Linked DNA regions of Xenopus tropicalis. The protein of the gene in region 2 interacts with the protein of the main gene of each other region in a biochemical or structural test. Links are inferred from orthologs where the notes say so. Each region holds a gene or a part of one and is shown on either strand. Other genes may lie near its edges. The genes, in order: hus1 and fen1.

Evidence for each region.
Region 1: the proteins of fen1 (region 2) and hus1 form a complex in vitro, tested with the Homo sapiens proteins (2 studies listed by BioGRID). The link is inferred for Xenopus tropicalis from reciprocal best matches to the Homo sapiens genes FEN1 and HUS1.

The regions. Positions count from the first base shown.
Region 1 is NC_030682.2:59,402,497-59,406,321, forward strand, and holds part of hus1 (checkpoint protein HUS1), read right to left. Parts: intron 3,563-3,825; coding exon 3,435-3,562; intron 2,766-3,434; coding exon 2,589-2,765; intron 1-2,588. UniProt on the Homo sapiens protein: Component of the 9-1-1 cell-cycle checkpoint response complex that plays a major role in DNA repair. The 9-1-1 complex is recruited to DNA lesion upon damage by the RAD17-replication factor C (RFC) clamp loader complex.
Region 2 is NC_030680.2:23,225,569-23,229,393, forward strand, and holds part of fen1 (flap endonuclease 1), read right to left. Parts: intron 1,261-3,825; 5' UTR 1,201-1,260; coding exon 52-1,200; 3' UTR 1-51. UniProt on the Homo sapiens protein: Structure-specific nuclease with 5'-flap endonuclease and 5'-3' exonuclease activities involved in DNA replication and repair.

The DNA.
Region 1 (3,825 bases), on a different chromosome or scaffold from region 2:
TTCCCACACACTCGCATTCAAGACTTTGCAAGGGCTGCCCTCCCTCTGGAATTCGCTCCCACAAACTGTCAGACTTTCTCCCAGTCACTCTGCCTTCAAGAGATCCTTAAAAACGCATTTATTTAGAGAAGCTTACCCTAATCTAGTTTAACATAACCTCAGTGTGCTGCTAAAAGCAATACCCTGAGCCACACCTCTCACAACTCTGGTCATGCCCATTCCCACACCTTGTGCCTCAACCCTTTCTCCTTGTAGATTGTAAGCTCTTTTGGGCAGGGCTCTCTTCACCTCCTGTATCGGTTATTGATTGCTTTATATGTTACTCTGTATGTCCAATTTATGAAACCCACTTATTGTACAGCGCTGCGGAATATGTTGGCGCTTTATAAATAAATAATAATATTAATAATAATGATAAGTGATATCGTAATTTCCTAAAAATGTACAACTTGCAAAATGTAACTTCCTTCACAGGATTCATTTTACTTTGGAATGAAGCGACACACAGGCATTCAACTAAACAAAAGTTTGTGTATACCCAGTTTTAGGCCAACTGACCTCCACATTCATAAGAAACCAAGTCAAGGCTTACTGCAGAGTACTCCTAAAGAAGATTACATATAATGGCCTACACCAGATCTTGCTGCTTAACAAAATAACTATAGTTAAAGTACAATATTCCTTTATATGACAGCATTTTTTTATGTAACTTATAATTATAAAAGTTTCTCTGCCTTAATGAACTACTTGAAATGAGCTTCTTGAAACACTTGTGTTATTTTTAGCTGGCTGAGTGGGAGCAAGATTCTGAACTATATAGTTACCCAGAAATAAATCACTTGAGACAATGAATGCATAACAAGGGTGGCTTGTTTTTATACCATTACATCACTTTTATTATCTATTCTACTACAATTCCTCCCCTTCTAAGTTTAACTCCTTCAAATAATCTCAGTGGCAATCTACCCTCTACTTTGGCTCATATCACTATGAGAGCAATCATGTCAGGATGAAAGCAATGTTAGGGAAAAAAATAATATTAACAAGGAGCTAATTATATGGGAGGGATGAAATAATGGCTGAACTAGCTTCACCTATAGCGAATTGGAGAAGGCCAACCCTGCCTCCTGACCTAGCTACTTGTTGGATTTAAGGCTGATGCCGCAAGGGTGTATTCTCGGCAAGCCAAAAAACCCTTGCCGATAATACGCCCGCTACTGTAAAAGTGTCCTACCTTGTGCCTGGACCTGAACGAATGGAATACGCTCGGATGCAGGCATATGTAGCTGATATCCACCAAAAAACGCAAGACTTCATATCTTCTGAGGATATGACCTACATGTGCCTGAACCCGAGCATATTCCATTTCACAGGTAGGAGCGTATGGCATTATTTTCGGCAAACGATATTCAGGTTGCCGAAAATATACGCCATATGCAAAGTGTGGCATCAGCCTAAATCAAGACGATAGGCTGTCACTGCAGCCTTTTTCAAAGGCTGAAAAAGGCTGCAGTGACAGCCGAAACGTTAGTCTGTATTAATAAATTTTCTGTTTATTGCACTAAGACCTGTGAGTGCGGCATCCTTGCTATTTTTGTACTACACTTGTATATACTGCACCCAGGCATTTTTGGCTCCATTTTCACGCGAGTGCCTGCTTTGCATGACTTTATATATATATATATATATATATATATATATATATATATAAAACTTTTATGAATTGCTTCCTGCCTCTTACTATTTCACCCTTTATCTTTTTCACATTTTCATAACCACTCTCCTCATGTATGTTCCTGAATCAGCTCTCCCACAACCCTATTTATTATCATATTATGTGATAGAAAGGGGTGGGGAAGTAATTTTGTTCTTACCATGCCTACAGTATCGGGGTCTTATCGTATCCTCATTTATACTTGCCCGATTGGATCGGTGTGAGACAGTTTTGAGTGTCAAGGTCCTAAGAAGTTATTTACAATTATCCAGAACAAGTGCTAGAACACAAAGGGGTGTAAAAAATCACTGTGTCTAGAAGAGTTGACAGTGGGGTAGTGTAAAAAACTAGGTGGCTTTTCCACGTGTTTTTTGAACTTTGACATTAATCTAGAGAGATCTTTTCCTAACAGCAGGAAAAGGTGCACACAGATTATGCAATTTATGCTTTGCTTATAACCTTTGACTCTCTTCTGGGCTTCTGCCTGTCTCTGAAACTCTCTGCCTCGAGCCATCAGTCTCTCCCCTTCCTTCCAAACACTCCCTAAAAACCCATCAATTTAGGAAAGCATATTCAATATATCCCGACTGATCCAACATTTATTTATGTATCATATATCATCAATCTGTTTCCATATTCCTTTTGTACCCTTAACCCCTTTAGATTGTAAGCATTTGCAAGTAGGGCCCTATGATTCTATTGTTACTCAAAACCCTTGATGGTTAAATCATTGTAAGAGCTGTATAATTTGCTGGCGCTATAAAAAAAATGTATAATAATACTTACAAACAACATTTGTAAGAAGATTTTACATACAAACATGCCTTCGTAGACAAAATACAATTATGCCGATATAAAATTCAAATTTCCTTACCAACTCTAGAGCCACTGTCAGACATGGGCAATGCTTGTTTGTCAGTTTTACTTTCACAGATTTAGCATTCTGAGCAGTTTTTAATGCTCGGGAAAGATTTTCAGGTATCAGCTCCAAGAAGATTTCATTCTGCTCCATGCAAACACCTTCCATTTGATATTCATCAAAGAAATTGCCCTGAAATATAAACAAAATTCTCAAAAAAAAATATCCTAAACCCATTGACCTTGTTTAGGTTTTGGATCATTTCAATCAATGTATTGAAAGTAGTCAAGCCTTCGTTTCCTGTTACAATAGCCTTTAGTTTTCTGGAAAGGCTTTTCTCTAAATGTGAGAATATTTTTAAGATTTGCTTCCAGCCACCCACAGAAGCATGTGTGAGGCTGACCAGTGACAAAGCTTGATCAGGCCTGGCTTGCAGACAGTATTTCAATCACAGGCGTTAACTGGTTAACAAATGTTGCTTGATGCATTTGTTATTAGCATGCTGAAACAGGAAAGAGCCTTCACCAAAAGAGAAAAAAACATGGTACTTACACCAGGTAAAGGAAATTCATATCTGGTGCAAGTACAGTGCTTTAGAAAACAGAAACAGAGGGTCATATATGCTTGGCAGCAAACTTTAGCATTGGTCGTAATAGCGTTCTTACATAGAGCCCTGGTTGGATTAAGACAGATGTAAGAAGCTCAAAAAGCTGAAATACAGGACTGTGATTAGTCCAATAAGAATAGTAGTTACCAAACTCTTTAAAAACTTTTTTTCTTTTTAATAAAGGCATATTTGAACGAATATTGAGCAACCATCCTAGGAGTTTGATAATTACATGTATTACCAAAGTGGATTACCTGGCTAAGCTCACACCACATACTGACTCCTCCATTGGCTACCTTGTCAGTTAGAATAAAGTACAGATTGTTAACGGTGAGCCTGAGGGTACATGTCTTTGTCAGCTTGCTTATTGTATTTATGACTCCTTCAGAAGAGAAATCAAAGAAAGAGAAAATTAAAATACAACACACACGTTACTGAAACACAATTACAATGCAGTGATACTGATGCATTCTTCATGTTTTATTGTAATACTTTAAAAATCTTCCTTGCACTGATGTAACATAATAAAACTACGATTTTGCCTCTCCTCAACCACTAGTTATTACTATTGTTAGTAAACAGTAACGCCATACTACTGTCATTGCTCCACCCCCACCAGGACTATTACAGCAGTCATGGAAAGAA
Region 2 (3,825 bases):
TTTAGCGCTTATACATCATTCACATCAGTTCTTGATAGTTTCCCAACTCATTCATTTCCCCCTCTTAAACTTTCCTGCGGGGGTACCTGCAGTTTTGGCTTTCTTTTTGGCAGATCCTTTGGATTCTACCTCTTTCCTTTTAGTTGAGCTAATGGATCCTGTCACTTTGAAAAAGTCATCGAGCCGGCCCTGTGTGCTGCCTTGCCGGTTCTTTGACAACTTTTTGGCCCCGTTGCGTATGCGGTCTTCGCTAAACTGCTTCTCTGCACACATGAAGGCCACCAATCCCTCTTCATCGGGCTCTATCCACTTTAGCTCTGTGCTCTCGGTGTCTACTACTTCTGGTTCCAAGAAAAGCTGCCTGGCCTCCTTGTGCAGCCAGTTCTCCGGAATGGGGTATTTTTTGAGGTCAATGTTATCTACGATCTCTTCAATTGACTTATGCTGACGGATCAGGTCAATGGCCCTTTTGGGTCCAATGCCACGGATGGTTTCACAGTAATCACTTCCAAGCAAGATACAGAGATCCACAAATTGCTCATGTGAGACACCCATGTCCTGCATAACACGGTTTAGGTGGAACTCCTGAATAGGCAGCTTTTTAGCTTCACTTGCGGTTAGGTGCCTAAGCAGCACAGGAGTGCCAAAAGTCAGGGCATCCATGTCTTCAGTGGCTGCAGCATACACCTTCCCTGCTTTCACCAAGGCTGCACATGTGGCTTCAGCCTCACAAGGTGCATCCACATAAGGAACGCCCATCAGGGTAAGCAATTTCTTGCACTCCTCATTGTGCTGTTTAGTGACTTTGACAAGTCTTTTGTTAAACTTCTCAATGTTCTCCACCTCCCCAGCCTCCTCGGCAGCTTCAAGCAACTTCTCTGCCTCTGCCCTACGCTCGCTGCGTTTGGCTAGTTCACCTGACTTCATCTGTGGCGGCTTTCCATCAAACACATAAACGGGTTTAATGCCATGCTCTATCATGCGAATGGTACGGTAGAACATACCCATAAGATGGCTCGTGGTTTCACCGTCCTCGTTTTGCAGCATGTTGCCATCCTGTCGTACGGCAATAAGGAACTGATAAATGCACATGGAAGCGTCAACAGCCACCTTTCGGCCAAAGTAACTTTTGATATCATGCTCCTTGATAGCTGCAGGTGCCACATCTGCAATAAGTTTGGCCAAACCGTGAATTCCCATTGCAAAAGTAGACTTGGTAATAGAGAAGGAAGATGCAGAGTTCAACAACGCAGATTAAACCTTTAAAAAAAAAAAAAAAAAAAAAAAAAGGTAAAGACTTAGTTGCATGGACTTAATGTACAATGAGTGCACAAAATAACAAACCCAATTTCACTTAGGGCTAAGACACATGGAGCTACTTAGTAGCAGCTACCCGTCACGGCTACTAAGTCCCCTGCCATAGACAATACTGAGAATTCCCTACATGTAGGGACAATTATCAGTAAATGATCAGCATTGTCTTTTTTTGTAGCCGTGACAAGTAGCTGCTACTAGTAGCTGTGTGTCTTCACCCTTATGTATAAACAGTAAAACGGAAAGTAAAGAGAAACGTTAGGACTGCTTGCGTGGGTCAAATAGAACTTTTAGTCCCCAGGTTCATATTAAGGAACAATATATATCTACAGTGGTGTGAAAAACTATTTGCCCCCTTCCTGATTTCTTATTCTTTTGCATGTTTGTCGCACTTAAATGTTTCTGCTCATCAAAAACCGTTAACTATTAGTCAAAGATAACATAATTGAACACAAAATGCAGTTTTTAAATGAAGGTTTACGTTATTAAGGGAGAAAAAAAACTCCAAATCTACATGGCCCTGTGTGAAAAAGTGATTGCCCCCCTTGTTAAAAAATAACTTAACTGTGGTTTATCAATTTCAATTTTCAATTTCAATATCAATTTCTGTAGTCACCCCCAGGCCTGATTACTGCCACACCTGTTTCAATCAAGAAATCACTTAAATAGGAGCTACCTGACACAGAGAAGTAGCCCAAAAGCACCTCAAAAGCTACACATCATGCCAAGATCCAAAGAAATTCAGGAACAAATGAGAACAAAAGTAATTGAGATCTATCAGTCTGGTAAAGGTTATAAAGCCATTTCTAAAGCTTTGGGACTCCAGTGAACCACAGTGAGAGCCATTATCCACAAATGGCAAAAACATGGAACAGTGGTGAACCTTCCCAGGATTGGCCGGCCGACCAAAATTACCCCAAGAGCGCAGAGACAACTCATCCGAGAGGCCACAAAAGACCCCAGGACAACATCTAAAGAACTGCAGGCCTCACTTGCCTCAATTAAGGTCAGTGTTCACGACTCCACCATAAGAAAGAGACTGGGCAAAAACGGCCTGCATGGCAGATTTCCAAGGCGCAAACCACTTTTAAGCAAAAAGAACATTATGGCTCGTCTCAATTTTGCTAAAAAACATCTCAATGATTGCCAAGACTTTTGGGAAAATATCTTGTGGACCGACGAGACAAAAGTTGAACTTTTTGGAAGGTGCGTGTCCCGTTACATCTGGCGTAAAAGTAACACAGCATTTCAGAAAAAGAACATCATACCAACAGTAAAATATGGTGGTGGTAGTGTGATGGTCTGGGGTTGTTTTGCTGCTTCAGGACCTGGAAGGCTTGCTGTGATAGATGGAACCATGAATTCTACTGTCTACCAAAAAATCCTGAAGGAGAATGTCCGGCCATCTGTTCGTCAACTCAAGCTGAAGCGATCTTGGGTGCTGCAGCAGGACAATGACCCAAAACACACCAGCAAATCCACCTCTGAATGGCTGAAGAAAAACAAAATGAAGACTTTGGAGTGGCCTAGTCAAAGTCCTGACCTGAATCCTATTGAGATGTTGTGGCATGACCTTAAAAAGGCGGTTCATGCTAGAAAACCCTCAAATAAAGCTGAATTACAACAATTCTGCAAAGATGAGTGGGCCAAAATTCCTCCAGAGCGCTGTAAAAGACTCGTTGCAAGTTATCGCAAACGCTTGATTGCAGTTATTGCTGCTAAGGGTGGCCCAACCAGTTATTAGGTTCAGGGGGCAATTACTTTTTCACACAGGGCCATGTAGGTTTGGATTTTTTTTCTCCCTAAATAATAAAAACCCTCATTTAAAAACTGCATTTTGTGTTTACTTGTGTTATCTTTTTTTGAAAGGTATGTTTTATTGCTTTTTATACAAACAAAAACATAAAATAACACATTTAACATTACAGTAAATAGAATATGCTAGTCTTTCTTTTCAGGTCTGTCTTTAAGGATTGTTACAAACATCGAGGGGGAAAGTGTAACAATACAAAGTTTAAGGGTGGATCTGGCGGCAGTTACATAGTATTGGGTACATCAACCTACTGAGCTAAGTGCTCAGGATATGGTAGAGAGAAGTGGGGAAACGCCGGGGATTTTACCCTGTGAATGGGAGTAGAGTCCTTCAGTTTCCCTCCAGATCACACCAAGGACCCCAAACTTTATCGAATTTATCGGACACGCCCCTGTTCTCATATGTAAGTTTGTAAAGAGGGACAACAGCATTCACTAGATTCTTCCAGGCTGTAACAGTGGGGAGGGTAGTGCCCATCCAGTGCATTGCAACTGTTTTTTTGGCATAGAACAGCAATATTCTGTAGCGTAGCCGGGAGCTATTTTGGGCAATTATAGTGTCTAGGACTCCTAGCAAGCAGGTTTCAGGAGCGGTCACAGTGGGGAAGGCTAAGTTGTTTGATAGATATTTGGTCACTGCTGACCAGAATTTAGCAATATGGGGGCATGACCAGATCATGTGAAAAAAGTTGGCAGAGC